Linked DNA regions of Caenorhabditis elegans. The protein of the gene in region 1 interacts with the protein of each later gene in a pairwise test. Each region holds a gene or a part of one and is shown on either strand. Other genes may lie near its edges.

Evidence for each region. The genes of interacting proteins can lie anywhere in the genome.
Region 2: the proteins of C40A11.7 (region 1) and ZK1055.7 interact in a two-hybrid assay, tested with the Caenorhabditis elegans proteins (one large-scale study listed by BioGRID).

Annotation. Positions count from the first base shown.
Region 1 is NC_003280.10:2,146,143-2,153,860, forward strand, and holds C40A11.7 (BTB domain-containing protein), read right to left. Parts: upstream 4,410-7,718; intron 4,287-4,409; 5' UTR 4,169-4,286; coding exon 4,049-4,168; intron 3,894-4,048; coding exon 3,645-3,893; intron 3,472-3,644; coding exon 3,357-3,471; intron 2,843-3,356; coding exon 2,664-2,842; 3' UTR 2,590-2,663; downstream 1-2,589. Other genes in the region: C40A11.2 (BTB domain-containing protein), read left to right, coding at 821-940, 1,158-1,406, 2,171-2,282, 2,362-2,522; C40A11.8 (G protein-coupled receptor), read right to left, coding at 4,410-4,793.
Region 2 is NC_003283.11:6,600,158-6,608,958, reverse strand, and holds ZK1055.7 (Protein F37C4.5), read left to right. Parts: upstream 1-3,583; 5' UTR 3,584-3,585; coding exon 3,586-3,726; intron 3,727-3,770; coding exon 3,771-3,890; intron 3,891-3,935; coding exon 3,936-4,170; intron 4,171-4,223; coding exon 4,224-4,332; intron 4,333-4,788; coding exon 4,789-5,443; intron 5,444-5,730; coding exon 5,731-6,183; 3' UTR 6,184-6,223; downstream 6,224-8,801. Other genes in the region: gon-14 (HAT C-terminal dimerization domain-containing protein), read left to right, coding at 1-83, 130-197, 624-790, 838-930, 976-1,488, 2,054-2,156; ZK1055.6 (Protein F37C4.5), read left to right, coding at 6,355-6,486, 7,107-7,226, 7,283-7,626, 7,795-8,440.

The DNA of each region.
Region 1 (7,718 bases):
ATTATCCCAAATTTTCTGGAATTTTTTAAAATTATCTGTTTTTTTTTTTGAAAATTTTGGCAGTTTCTGAACTAGATAATTTGTGATTGCTACTTAAGTCCCTTTGGTTCCAAAATGGCCAAATATCATAAGAAAACGTTTCAAAAAATTTTTGAAAATTTTTTATTTACTGCCAAAAAGTGGCAATTACTCGGTTTTTGCCACTCATAATTTTGGAAATCCACCAAAAAAACAATTTTTTTCTACATTTTTTATGTTTTAATTTTGTTTAAATTATTTGTATCAAAACATTGTAGGGGTCGAAAAATGCGACATTTCTTTAAATTTCCTCAACAGCTCATATTTTTCAAAATTTTGGCAATATTCCAAAACGTTGACCGGAATGGAACTTTCTGAAGGTTTCTAAGCTTTTTAAAAATGTTACAAAATTATCTGAAACTCCCTGATTTTTTTTTTGAAATGTCTCAAATCTTTTAGAACATTCTTAACTTTGTTGAAACATTCTAAATTCTCTAAGAAATGTCTAAAATTTTTCAGAAAACTTCTAGAGTTTTTTGAATCTTTCAGAAGTTTTCCGAAAAGTTTTGATTTTTTTTTTAATTTCTGCAAATTTATAAAATTCCCAGAAAATTGCTAGACTTTCGAAAAAAAATGTTTGAAGTCTTCTGAGTTTTTTTTCGAAATGTTCTGAAACTGTCTGAAAAATTTTTTTTTTTTCTGGAACTTTCCCAACTTTCTCAGATTTTCTGCAACTTTCTACAGCTTCCTACAATTTTCTGCAATTTTCCTCAAATTTCGCTCATTTTCAGCGATTTCCAAAATGGATTCCATAGTTGAGCCCATTAAACTAGATATCGGTGGTACGGTATTCGAGACGTGTAAACTGAAGCTCACTAAATTTGATGGTTTCTTCAAAACTATGCTCACAAGTGATATTCCGGTAACTTTCAATTTTATTTTTTATTTAATTTTCCAACTTTTAAAATTTTCCTAATTTTTCTGAGAGATTCTGGAACTTTCTGGAACTTTCTGGAACTTTCTAGAATGTTCTGAAACATTCTGGAACGTTTTGTAAGTTTCTACAACTTTCGAAATCTTTCTCAAAGCTTCTGGAATTTTCTAGAACTTCCTGCAACTTCAGAGATGTTCCATTCTAGGTCTCAATCGACGAATCCGGGTGCATTTTTGTGGATCGGTCCCCGAAAAATTTCAGCCTGATTCTAAAATATCTGAAAGAAGGTGATGACGTGGAACTTCCAAAGTTTGAACGAGAACTGCAAGAAGTGAGAAGAGAAGCCGAATTTTACCTTTTAGACGGTCTAGTCGACCTATGTGATTCTTTTCTTAAAATTCGGTCATATGAAACTTCGGAGGAGCTTCTTCATATTATTGCAAACTGCAAAAAGGTATAGATGACGTCATTGAGTGGGCAGGGCTTTAGAGGCCACGCCCCTTTTGTAAGCTGGGCCTCCGTAGTTCATGTGACGAAATTAACTTTGGAAAATTTTTTTGTAATTTTCTGAAATTTTTCAGCAATTTCAATAACTTTTATAAATTTTTCTAAAATGGTCTAGAACTTTCTAGAACTTTCCGGAACTTTCTAAATGTTTAAAAAATTTTATAGAATTTTCAGAAAAAATTTCAGAAATGTTCTGGGGCTCATTGAAACTTTCTGACAGTTTTCAGCTGATTTTGTAATTTTTATGAAATGTTCTGGCACTTTCTGAAACTTTCTGAATGTTCATAACTTATTATAGAATTTTCTTTAAAAAATTTTTTAAAATTATTTTTAGGCACGCCCATTTGTGGGCGGAGCTTAATAAGCCACACCCAATTGTTCTCTTCTAGACTTTAAAATGTTTAGCACGAAATTCAAAAATCAAGTTCCTTGAAATATTTTGGAGCACATAAGAGGCGTGGTTTAACAAGCTCCGCCCACTAAAGAGGCGGGACGGGATTGGCTCCGCCCACTAAATGGGCGGGCGGGGTGAGCTCCGCCCACTGAGTGGGCGGGGGTTATAAGATAACGTCAAAATTTGTTCGCAGTTTTGATTCCCAACAAAATTTTTGACCAAGAAAGGGGCAGGGCTTGATAAGCTCCTCCCACAAAATGATCATAGCCGAAAATTTTGGCGCTTCATTCAAATTTTCGAAATATTTTTTTTTTCAGACAGCAATTCTTGTGATCAGCTATACAGTTCACAATGATCACCTCTGGAACTCTCCAGAATCCTTCAATTTTCAATATGTTCTCGAAAATCCAAAGTTGGATGTCTATTTCAGTGAGTTTTTGACCTGATTGGTCGAAAAGTGGGCGTGGCCGGGCGCTGATTGGTCGAATAATTTACAAGTGATTTTCAGAACAATGTGAATGCGAAGATGAATCTGATAAATCTCGGCGTGAAGATGGAGTCAATAAAGGTCACCAATCATGGATTTATCGGCTGTACTCTCCGATTAAAGGATTTAAAACATTTACAAATTTTGATAAATTGGAGAAATATATTAATGGGAGGCTGTGAAAATCGGGAATTTATGAATAAAATGTTGATCACTTCTAGACGCCGCCGTACCTTTTTGAGAAGTTTTCGAGAATTTTCATTATAAAACAAATGTAAAAAATTTGATAAATGCATTTGAAATATTAAATAATATGTGGGTATTCATTCTCCGTTCAAAATACTATCGATTTTCTTCTGTAGATCATCCATAGCTGTTAAATCAACGCAACCTGAATGCGTACTGTTGTAGATGCGATAACTCCAAACTGGTTCAGGGTAATATTTCATTCCGCGATGTCTCCTTAAATCTTTTGGCAGAGGTTCTCGATTATCCATTGGTTCTGCAAAATAATTTTAAGTAATTTGTTACAAATACGCTAAATAAATTAATCAGACATGTTTCAACAAATTGCGATGAAAAAACATTTTTAGGTCAATTTTTTTCCAAAAATTTTTTAATCTAATTTTTATAAAATTTTAAAAAATAAGTCAATTGTGTCATTTTCTATATTAAAATCAAAAATAAAAATTACGGTTGTCACTGTGAATTTCTAAAAATTGAAGTAAACTTTGCGTTTTTCAGTTGAAAACAGTAGTTTTATTTATGCAAACTGTTATATCTCTAAGAAAACATATGGCACTTTTTAAAAAAAATTACCAAAAATATCTCTGTAAATTTAACTTTCAGAAAATATATTTGACATTTTTGTAGCTAATCAGGTTCTAAAGTTATGCTAGTTTTCGCCAAAGAGACACATTTACAGGCCGGTGTAGTATCCTCAAAACTTACAATTTTCGGAATTTTAATGATTTTTTTAAAATTTTCCGAAAACGAAAAAAATCCAAAAAACTCACGAAAATAGATTTCTACCACTGAACTGTTTTTCTTAACAAACTCATCGAATCGAAATCCTTCTGGGATGTATATGATATCGTTATTATGGGTTATGTAGTTAATCACAACTACTGGCTGAAAATGATATCAAAATGATATTAAAATAGCATATATTTATATATATATATATATATATATATATATATATATATATATATATATATATATATATATATATATATATATATAACTGAAACTGAAATATATACATATATATATATACATATGGGAAAATAAATAACACCTACCTTCTTGGTGCTGGCGATGATTTGCAGCAATTCATGAGACGAGCGATAAGTTCGGATTTGATTATTTATAGGTTCACACAAGTCTACCAACTGCTCCAACAAGTAGAATTCGGCTTCTTTTTTCAGTTCTTGTAGTTCTTTTTCAGAGTCTGGAAGTACTGTAACACCGGATCTCATGTAGTTTAGCACAGTTTCAAAGTACTTTGGAGAGCGATCAATGAAATAACAATCGGAAGTGTCCTTTTTAACCTGAATTTGAAAAATTTGACTTTTTTGTTATATCTGGAGAACGGGCCACAAATGATTTCACTAAGAATATATAGGCTTACAAACCGGCCTGGACTGGACTTAGACTTGATTTTTGGACATGATTTCCTAGTTGGCGAAAAAAGAAACAAACTAACCGGAATATTCGTCTCGACTAATGTTTTGAAAAATCCATCCTGCTTGGTCAGTGTCGATTTCCACGTCTCGAATACAGATCCGCCGACATTCAACTTGACAATTGTCTCAGAAGAGCACATATTGAGTAGTCACAAAGAATGAATACCTTGTGTTACAGAAGATTCCTTCTGTTGCTTTTTATCGATTTTTTTGACGACCTGCTCATCGCATTCCTCTGAGCACCTCGGGAAAGGTGACCTCAGTTTTCCCAAAATTGTGTGAAAAATTATTTAATTATTTATTCCGTTACAAGGAAATATGTAGATATAGCTCACAATCAACGAAATATTAAAAAAAAACCTATGAATTTTAAACCACATACTAAAAACTAAAAATCGTCTCCTCATATATCCATCTTCGAGATTTCCTCTCCCAACTACACACTCCTCTCCTCAGCACCATATTGTCGGGCACCATCTCGCTAAACGCAACCTCTTCAGAGTAATAGGCCAAGCAAGCCACGTAGATCAAGGGAATCGATAAGATATTGATGATCGGAAGGATAAATCGGGTTACATCGCGAATCTCATAGGCTTCCTCCTGATCTGCCCAGGGGACCAGGCTGATGAAGCAACGGCCTATGTAATAGGCCTCGGTTAAGGCCATGAAAATAATTATGAATAGCTTCTGAGCAGTTGTTGCCTTGGCTCTTTTCAGTAGAGTGTAGTGCGTGGGCGTGAATGGCTCATTGAATTGATCCAACATTATTATATGTAGGTAATACTCGATAGCAACGATTACGACGCAGACGAGTAACTGAAAATTTTGAAATTGACGTAATTTAAGTATCCGATAAGCTACAGAAATTTTGAATACACTTTCTGAAAGTGAAACATTTGGGCATACTTTTGGTAATTTTTCAAAAAAAAATTGCAAATTTGGCTCTGAGATATTATAGTTTGAATTTGTAAAACTATAGTTTTCAACTGAAAATATTATAATTTTATTCAAAATTTTCAAAATTCTCAGTTGATGAATAACTCATTTCACAAAATTCCATAAAATCACGTGGTGTCAGAATGTCCCATTTCGTTATGATCTACCAGAAATGCGGGAATTTAGACGCAGATTTTTCAAGTGGTTTCGCATGGTTAAGAACGTGCTGACGTCACACTTTTTGGGGAAAATTTTCCCGCATTTTTGTAGACCAAACAGCACCACGAGAAAATTAGAACACATTTTTTTTAAGAACATTGTCAGAAATTTGTTTTTAGTCAAAACATTCTGAATTATTTAGATTAACTACAATAACGTGCTAGATTATTTGAAAACCCAGAAAAAGATCAAATAAATTCAATACTAAAATTTGGCTGACCGCGACGCGACCGCACCGCACCACTAAAAATTTCAAAAGTTACCGAAAATAATCAACATGAGATTCAAGTTTCAGAAAAATAACGGACAACTCAAAAATCAAGTTTTTAGAGTTTGAATCTCAATGCTAACGTTAATTGAAAAGTCTGACCGCGACGCGACCGCGCCGCATCACTAAATTATTTCAAAGTTCTTTGAAAATAGTCGTTACGGGTTTCAAATTTCAGAAAAATTGACGGAAAACTCAAAAATCGAGTTTTTAAAGTTTGAATCTCAATGCTAAAGTTAGTTGTAAAATCCGACCGCAACGCAACCGCAACGCAACCGCAACGCAACCGCAACGCAACCGCACCTTAACGCGACCGCAACGCGTCCGCACCGCACCATTCAAAAATGTGCTCAAACCGTGCCAGATTATTTTTAAAAAGCAGAAAGTGTAAAATCTTGATTAAATTGAAGTTTTATCGAAAACTATATGCACAACTTGTCTGAAATTTCACCGGAATAGGTTTTCGACTATGCTCTTTCCGAAAATAAATTTTAAATTTTCCTTGAATTTTCCTCGGCTTCAGATTATAAGGTTACCGGTAAACAACAACTCACATTTGCCCATTCGCTGTACATTCTGATGGGAACATATACGGAGATTAGAAATGTCTTGAAAATCACCGCAGTCGCCATTTTATACTGGTTTGTTGTTTTTTTTTAAACGACCGAATATCATAATCTCACTGAGAATTTAAAAGTATTGAAGTAAATTTTGCGTTTTTCAGTTGAAAACAGTAGTTTTGCATATTCAAACTGTTCCAACTCAACGAAAAAGTATTTTTTTTTTCTTATGAAAAAACTTAAAACATGATCTTAAGTTTTACTTTCAGAAAATTTATTCAAAGTTTGCGTAGCTGATTAGTTTCTGAAGTTACGTAAGTTTTTTCACCAAATTCAAATGAAAACAAGTGTTCATTTTGTGAAACGTTAGGTTCACAGTGATTTCAAATTTTTATCCGATTATTCTCACAACTTGATTCATCACAAACATTCATTTTTCTCGAATTTTAATCAATATTTTGCGGCAGTCGAAAAGCGCTTTAAATTATTGTATGTAACTGATAGGAAGAATTGATGATAAGAAATTACTCTTTCCATTCATTGCAGTGTCTTAAACATAGGTTTGCAGGTGAACGAGTTTCATCTGCTCATGCTCATTTTTTTTTCAATACTTTTGAAAATATTTTTTACTAAATATTTTACAATAAAAATACTCTTCACATTTTAAATGAATGATGCAGTTACTAATTAAAATTAAATGTAGGAATATAAATCACAAATACCCTTTACTGTAATACTAAAATTAGTATGCCGGTTCTGTAACAAAAAACTTTAATGCAAAACTAAAAGGGTCAGGCTCTCTATCAATAAACAGAAAACTCTTTACAACTTTGAGTATTATAGAAAAAATTGAAATGTTTGAACCTTCAGCCACATATTTCATTTGTACAACTGATAAGAATTCCTCCTTACGCGTATTTGCAGATTATTTTCTTTAAATGGCAGAGAATGGGCGGTGATGACGGAATTTAAATGTGAATAAATTTTTTTAATGATTTTTTTATCAATTTTGAAATCAAATTAAAAATTAAAATAATTTGATAATTTTTTTTTGTGAATACCCGCGCAAATGAGTGATTAGATTTTCCTGATTTTTCAGACATTTTATTTCCTTTGAAACAATAATAATTCAGGTGAAATTATCTATTTTTATGAATTTCTTTCAAGTTATCAAGTTTTCTTCGCGGAAAAATAATATCGAAGATAATTTTTTTAAGCAATGCATTTAGCCAGAAAACAAAACAAAGTACGTTACCCATTTGCATGGGAAATCAAAAATAATTATCTTATTTTTTAAATGTTTTCAAAGTTTCAAACAATCATTAAAAATTTAGAAACATTTTTTAATTTTTACTGTTACATTCGGAATTTTTCGTGTTTAAAGGTGGAGTAGCGCCAGTGGGGAAATTGTTGAAACCACTCCTTTGGTCCCAAAATGACCAAATATCTTGATAAAACTTTTCAAAAAATTTTTGAAAATTTTTTATTTACTGTCAAAAAGTGGCAACTCATAATTTTGGAAGTCGACCAAAAAAAAAAAGTTTTTTCTACATTTTTTATGTTTTAATTTTGTTTAAATTATTTGTATTAAAACATTGTAGGGGTCGAAACATGCGACATAGCTTTAGATATCCTAAAAAACCCGTATTTTTCAAAATTTTGGCAATTTGCCAAAACTTTGACCGGAAATTATGAAAAATCTAAAAT
Region 2 (8,801 bases), on another chromosome or scaffold:
CCTTCATCCTCTTCGTCATGGCTCTGATCTCCTTGCATCAGCCGACTGGATGAAAATCAAAACTGATTTATCCAGTCATTTATGTTGGTTTTACTACTTTTAAATTTTATATTTAAAATAATATTTCAGCTCTCCGTGAAGCAGCTGAAGCCACTCTTGCACATCCATCGTCATTCGACAATACGATAACTGCAGATGTAAGGAAAAATTATTTGAAGGCGCACGAATTCATTCTGATGGGTCTCGTCGCGCAAAAAAGTTTATGGTATTTTTCTTTAATTTTTGTGACTGCTTCCTCGTTTATTTTCCTTACGGTTATTATGTAGTTTCTAGCGATTTTTGCCGTTTTTATTTTTCTGTTAAACATGGTTTTAAATATGATTTTCTAACCTTTTGTCGGCCGGAAAAATGTAGAAAACTGATTTAAAACAATGTTCAACAGAAAATTTGAAAAACCACAAAATTTGCCAGAAATGAAGTAATTTCCTTGAGAAACGAGAAGGTGACCGGAAATATAAAAAAAAACTTCGAGACCTATCTGTATAAATCTTCGCTTTTTTAGGAAGGCATGTCAACATTTCTAGAAATCACGATATTCATTCCTATGGTATATATTTTTACAGAAAGAGGTCAATGCGTTCTCACAGTATGTGTGCAGAGTTACTGGTGTTGAAACTGGAATCATGGATTGGTGGGCTCGTCACGCCGGTCGCTTCCCTCGTCTGTACAAATATGCCAGAGAGCTTTTCATAATTCCAGCGTTTTCGATTGATGCCGCTTATTATCTCGGGTTAGGAAATTTTATTCGCTTAATTTCAATACAGTTGACATTTACAGAGAGTACGGTATCCTTACACATTCGATCAACGAATCAGATATCTCAAAAAGGAAAATGCTACTTCGTGCAGCGAGTGAATTAGTTGAATATCGGTAATTTTAATTCTTAGATCTCCAAAACTCATTATTATTTTATAGCTCGAAGGGATCTTTGATGTGCAAACCAATTTGCGTAAAGCGAAGAAAAGACGCCAATTCTCCTGAAGATGCTTGGTATCATGCAATCGATGTGAGAGCTCTACAGATTGTAGATGTACCATCAGACGAGCCTCCAAAACGAATGATTCCTCAACGAACGCCATTTGTGTATCAGAATCCAAACCCACTTCCACCGCATCGAATTCTACAATCGTTTCCCACAATTCGAACAAACAGAGAAGCACCACATGGAAGAAGTCTGAAAGATGAAATTGCAAAAATCGCTGCGAATAGACAGAAGATTCAGAGAGTGTACACTGTTGCTTCATCATCGCCGTACGCGAGGCCTGTTGTCGTTAAAACCGAATCCAAAGAGGGCATTGTTGAACAACTGACTCCATCGGCTCCTCCACCGAAGAGGTACTACGCAGTACGACCTGCGGCAGGCAATGGAACAAGTGTGATTCGCGGAAAAGATGGTCAAGTATTACGAGTTATCAGAAATACCCCTTCGTGAGCTGATCAATTAAAAAAAGAAAATATTCGATTTTTGAAATATCGAAAAAAAATGTTTCAGAAAATATTTTTTTTAAATCAATGTTTACGTTGATGAGAAAGCATAATAAAACATGAATATTTTCTAAAAAGCAGTGAAATTATTAAGAATTTTGAGCTATTTTTTGAAAAATCAAAAAAAAATTTCGAAATATCAGAAAATTGAAAGTTTTCGATTTTTCAAAAATTAAACAATTTTTGGTTTTTAATTTTAGTGAGAAATCAAACAACCGACATCCTTGTATCAAAGGTGTCGCCATAAAATGTTCGATTTTCCGGTATTTCTCATAGAAAATAGAAAAAGTTGTTCGGTTGTTTTTTTTTGGAAATAAAATTTTATTCAAAAAAAATACGAGGAAAGTATGTATAGATTTATCTCTCAAATCAGAGAAATGACATTATTCATAAAAATGAAATGTTTTCCAAAAGATCGAAAAACAAAATGTTCGATTTTTTAAAATAAAATTACATCCTTTCTGCTGATACCATTATTAACCTAAATTAAATATATTCAACTTTTCAGAGTCTCCTTCAACTTAAACACTCCTCTGACTGCATCGAAAAAGATGTATTTCATTCGTACAAAAACTGGTGTTACCCATCAGCTACATCAACCTCCACAATAATCCCAGCTCATACATCTGTACCTCAATTCACTTTAGTTATTTGTCACTAGTTGGTATTTTCATTGTTTTGTTTTTGTTATGCTACTTGTTTCGATATATCCGCATGTTGTTTCAAATTGACTATGCTAACGTTTTCTTTTCTCATCGACCAGTTTACTTCCCTGTTCTGTTTAATAGTTCTCAATCATGTTATTTTTCTCAATTTTTCTGAAGAGTATCTTATCATTTCTTTTTTTCTGTATTCCCAACTCACCTTGACATTTCTGAATTGTTGACCCAGCAAGAAACTTTGCATACCCTCTGACTGGTATTTCATATTTTTGGGAGAAAAAAAACGTTTCGAAAATTTGTGAATTATTATGTGAAAAAAAAAAAAAAAAAATTATCCTATCGCGTTTTCCTTTCTGCATCTAAGTCTCCAATGAGTCAGCACAAACACATTGCGAAACATTTTCTGTCTCTTTGGTATAAATAGAGAGTTTCCTCTCTTTGAAATGATTTGAAGGTTTTACTGATATCAACGTTATGAAATTTAGTCATCTCGTCGCGTTTCTTTTCGAAAAGTTTTGAATATTCAACTTTACGTTTTTTAGTTTTGGAAATTTCAGTGTGTTATTTCAGTTTATATAATGTTTCTGAATTTATTACAACACAAAATTATGAAAATGCGTAATGCGCTATCTGACTATCTGACGCGCAAAATATCTCGTAGCGAAGGCTACAGTAACTCTTTAAATAACTACAGTAGCTGTGGTGTCGGTTTACGGGCTCGACTTTTGAAACGTATTTATTCTCGAATAGTGATAAATAGCGATACTCTATTTTTCTTCGTTTCTTCGTATTATTTTCTCATTTTTGCTTAATATGATAAATTATATCTACATGATAAGTCAAAATGATCCCGTAAATCGACACAGGCGCTACAGTAGTCCTTTAAAGAATTACTGTAGTTTTCACTACGAGATATATTGCGCGTCAAATATGACATTAATAATATTTACAAAATACAGATGTTTTTTAAAAATATCTTTGTCTTTAGACAACTACTGCTATAATCTCTCATGCGTATATCGTATATTCGTTGAAATTTTAAAATTCAGTTTAAAGGCGCACACTATTTTTCTGTGTAGGTCTCGCCACGATCTCAGCTATAGTGATCGCTACAAGCTTCAAATTTCATGCATTGGTTCATTTAATGTAGAAATGTACGACCAGTTAGAAAAATACCAAACCAATATGTTGAATAAATTAACTTCAAGCCAGATTTTCTACAGTAAACATTAAGATTGTATCACCGTCCGTAAATCTATATATTCTTAGAAATGCAGCGATATTAATGATTAACAACAATTCGTGATATATACTTTCGTTATTTTAGAATTCCTAATATTTGAAAATACACACCTCTTAAAAAGAGTCATTTTCAGAAATGACCACCAACCCATCTGTCCACGAGTTCGAGACTCGTGATCTTAAAATTGCCGAGGTGAAAGTATTCACTGATAGAGCTGAAATCCGTCGTCTTGTCAAAGTTTCATTGAAATCTGGTGTCAATGAAGTTGTTCTCAAGGTTTGTAGAATATGAACAAGTTTTTCAAGTAGTTTTGAATTTAGAACCTCTGCAAAACAATGGCTCAAGGATCAATTAGAGTTGAAGGAAGAGGAAATGCAATCATTCATGATGTAGTTATTAAGAATGTTTCTCGTTTGCCAACTGAAGCTGATCCTCCAAAGGTTGGCAAGATAATTAAAATTCGAAAATATATTCTTTTTTTTAAGATCACCAATCTCAAAGCTGCCATTCTAGAGGAGAAAAATCGCCTCCAAAAAATCACAGATCGCGGAACGGTTGTCCAAAAATGCGTTGACAATTTGGACAAAGTTTTCGAACAAGTTGGTGGGGGTCTCGTGAATCCACCAAAAGATGGTGTTGCTTCTTTAAATGAAGGAACTTTGGAAAGTCTTACAAATTTCTTCCAATTCTATGGGAGCAACTCCGAATTATACAGAGAAAGTGAGTTTAAACGATAAATTTGAGATTTTAAAAAACTTAATTTTTTTTTCTAGAACTACGATCAGTTGAAGCTGGACACCGTGAGCAACAGGAAAAAGTTTCGAAACTGGAAAACGAGTTACGAGCTCTAATGCACAATTTGAATGAAGAAGCGTTCTCTCAGTGAGTTTTTGAAAAGTTTAAGGTGGAATTGTGCCAGTCGGGGAATTTACCAAAATATACTAAAAATGGGGCAAAAACAACTTTATATGTCTTTTCAAATCTTTCTTAATCTTAACTCAAACTTTTGGCAACATACCAAATTTTGAATCATTTAAAAAATTTGAAAAACTATCAAAAAACCCATAAAAATTTGAGGCGCACAATGAGCTATGCTTTGCTTTCTATGCACTATTTATTTTCAAATACAAATGGGATTACAGATAGATTTGAAGATATGCAAAAAAGCATCCAACCCTAATAAAAATTCGAAATATTATAAAGAAAAGTTCCATATGATTTTCCATCTATTTCTAGAAACAATTTATTTTTTGAGTCTTATTGTTTGACATTGTTAAGCTGTAGTATTTAAGATCACTGTTTGCCTATCTTCCCAACAAATTGATAACTTAATTTTAGCACTGCCACAATTACTTTGGAATGCACAGAAGACCTGGAAGCTGAGCTGAATGTAGTCTATCAAGTGTTAGATGCTTCGTGGCATCCATCATACGATATCCGAGTTGACACAGAGAAACCATCCATGAGCATTACATACTTTGGAAAAATCCGTCAATTCACAAAGGAAGATTGGACTTCTGCACCACTTGTTTTGTCAACTGCTCAGCCATGTCTTGCTGGCAGAATTCCAGATCTTGGAACTCTCGAAGCAACCTTCCGTCGTCCTGAAGTTCAACATTATCAAACAAGATCGATGAATGCATCAGCCTCATTATTTGGGGCGCGGGGACCGCAGAACCGTCGAGCCGAAACACTCGGATTTTCAGATGAAGTGACTTTGGCTCCACCAATGGCTGTCGCTGTTGCTTCAGAAATCACCCAAAACACGTTGAGCACAGAATTTAAAATTCTCAGAGAAGCAACAATTCCACACGGTACTGATGAACACAAAGTTACTATTGGAGTTGTGACTCTTACACCAAAACTTGTTCATGAATCCGTTCCAAGTAAGAATGCTGCAGCTTTTCTCACGGCTTCTGCTGTTAATACTTCTCAACTTGCACTCCTGGCTGGATTTTCATCTGTCTATCTGAATAATGCATTTGTCGCAACAGTAAGATTTTTTTGTTGAGAAAATTGATTTAAAACAAATTAAGTTGCTGAAATAACCAAATTTTAATAGTAAGAATTCTTCTATCGATTCAATCTTGTTTCACTCTGAACATACAAGAATGATCTGAATCTTTCAACAAAAAAAAAGAAAATTTCAAAACTTGGAAATTTGTCAAAACTCAACTAGAAGTCATTAAACCTCTAAAACATTGTATAATGAATGATATATGAAAATATTTAGTCTCATTGAATCAGTTTGAGTATATTTTAATAAAATCCAACTTTTAGAGTCACCTGAAAAACGTGTCACCAGGTGAAAGACTCACTTGCTCTTTGGGAGTTGACACGGCAATTCGTGTGGAGTACAAGCCGGCAAAGAAGTACCATGAGGAAGGAGGTTACATCACCAAGCACTCTGCAAATGTCACGGAGCAAACAATCTCCATCAAAAATACGAGAAATGAGCAGCCGGTGCTCCTAACCGTGAAGCATGCGATTCCACGTAGCACTGACGAGAAGATCCGTGTGAAGCTAGTTTCACCAGCAGCTACGCCATATGATGCGGAGAAGGCTGGCACTGAAGCCGAGAATTCTGAGCCTGTGGAAGGGGCAAAGTTCAATTCCAGCAATCACTTGGAGTGGACTATAAAGCTGGCTCCGAGCAGCTCAAAGGATCTGATCATCAAATATGTGGTGGAGCATCCAAAAGATGAAACTGTTCAATATCAAGAGAATTTCTAAAGTACATCCAACAGTGAATTGATACTTAAATGAAGTCGTCTATCTTTTACAGAAATTTTTGTTTTACAATTTTCCCATTTCCGTTTTATCGGTTTTCATTTTTTTAATGTTTTTTTTGCACTTTCTTCACCTCTAGTTATAATATGCCCATCGAATAATCTACGCTTATAGATGGCATCAATTTACGAACTTGACATTCGAAATCAGGAAATCAGTGGAATTACAATTCTCAGTGACCGAGCTGAAGTGAAACGACGGGTACCAGTTAATTTGAAAGCGGGAGTTAGTGAGATTTGTTTAAAAGTGAGTTTCTTTTTTTGAAAATCATTTTATTGAAATTCCAACACTTTAAATCTCAACTTTTGAATAATTTACATACAAAGACTAATATAAAACTCATTTTGTGTAGATTATCTTTCTGAAAAAGTTGTATATAAAAAATTATAGTAAAAATGAGCCAAATAAAATAAATATTAAAAAGAACATTTAAACATTATTTTGAAATTGTTTTTGAAACCTTTTGAAATGCTGGTAATTTGCAAAAATTTTGACTTTTTGGTGTATCAAAATGGTTACGCGGAGAACTAATAATAGTTTTGCAATAAAAATCTAAAAGTTCATAAAATAGATTGAGTTATATTATGGGATTTCTATAATTATTTTTTTTTTAATTATTATTTTCAAATCTTTAAAATCGCTATCAAAATATTTTCACGGCGTACCGTACCTAAAAATTCTTCGCGTTTAAGACCATTAGCCATTGTCGGGGAGTTTTCAAATGTTGCCAAGAAAGTTAGAGCTCAGCAGCATCTTTGCAACTTCATTGAAACTTACAACTGTTAGTAACTTATTTTGTAAGTTAACATTGAATTCCTACAATATATAAACTAATGAAATGTTTATTTAAAACTCCAAATTTTCAGAACTTCTCTGTATTTTTCCAAAGTGATTCTATTAGAGTTGAAGGTCGTGGGAAAGCAACAGTTTGTGATGTGAACGCTAAAAAACTCCCTTCTTTAAACTCAGAAACTGACTCCCCGAAGGTAAGTAAAAAAAAATCCCTGTTACATAGATTTTTGAAGCTACTTATGTATTTTAGATTGCCGAGTTGCGAAGTGAGCTTGACAAATACAATGCAATACGTAATAATCAAGAGGATCAGAGAGATATATTGAAAAAGAAAATAGGTGGATTAGAACGGACAGTAGGAAGAATTGGAAAAGGAATAATGAATCCTAAAAGAGAATCCGGAAGTGTTGTTATTGATGAGAACCTGCTGACAGGACTTCAGAAATTGTTAGATTTTCAAGAAACTGAAATGAATAAATTGAATGAACAGTTGCGGGAGAAAGAGCATGAGATCCTCAAAACAATTGAAATGGCGAGTAAGATTGGAAATGAGTTAAATCGCTTAGTGAATAGCGGAATTTCCAATATGTCTCAGTAAGTTTAAATATAACTTTATGTATCAAAACGTTCAATAGGACAGTTTGAAAAACGCTGAAATATTTATATTTCTACTTTGTTTAGTGCCTACAACTTACCAGAAAAATTTTTTAGGACGTGACAGTATCAAAATGTTTGTTGAAACTCAGGAAGTCTAATTTTCAGCACGGTCTTCATTACACTTGAAGCTTTCGAAGATGGCGACGTTGAATTGGATATAACTTATCAGGTTTTTCAAGCTGGGTGGCAGCCGTCTTATGATATTCGCGTGGATACTGAGAAACCAACAATGGCTATTACATATTTCGGAAAGATCTATAACCATTGTGGAGAAGACTGGAACGAATTTCCAGCTGTTTTGTCGACTGCTCAACCTAGTCTCGGAGGACAGATTCCTGAACTAGGTGTTCTCGATGCTCACTTCTACAGACCTGCACTAAAGATGAGGCGACAACGTGGCCTGAGAATAATGAATAGAAGAGGTGGGCCTCGTATGTTGTCCAATTATTCCAACGAGATTGATGATGGTGTAGAAGAAGTACTTCAAACAATGGCTCCACCTCCAATGGAAGTCACAAAGAACACTTTGAGTACAGAGTTTAGAATCGCACGGAAAGCGACTATTTTAAACGGTGTAGACGATCATAAAGTGACTATCGGCACTATTGAACTGATACCATCACTTTTACATCAAAGTGTTCCATCCAAAAATGCATCAGCGTTGTTGACAGCTTCAGCAGTCAATACTTCTGTACTGCCACTTTTGAGTGGTGAAACTTCAATCTTTTTGAACAATGCTTTTGTTGCAAAGGTGAACGATTGTATCAAATTTTCATAGTTTTCTCTCAAAAATATAATAGTGTAGGATCCCGTTAAACAGATGCTTTCCAAAAGTGCTCATTTCAGGAGTGGGCGGCAATTGCCGTTCGGCAAATTAATTTGTCGACAAATTCGGCAAATCGGCCAATTGCCGATTTACTGATTTGCCGGAAATTTTCAATTCCGACAATTTGCCGGTTTGCAGATTTGCCGGAAATTTTCATTTCGGCAAATTGCCGATTTGCCGTTTGCCGGATTTCAGATTTGCCAGAAATGTTTAGAGGGATTTATTATAAGAAGGAAACACTTAAAACTGTGTCTTTTTGAATTTTTTTTCCGTTGTTTCTACATAT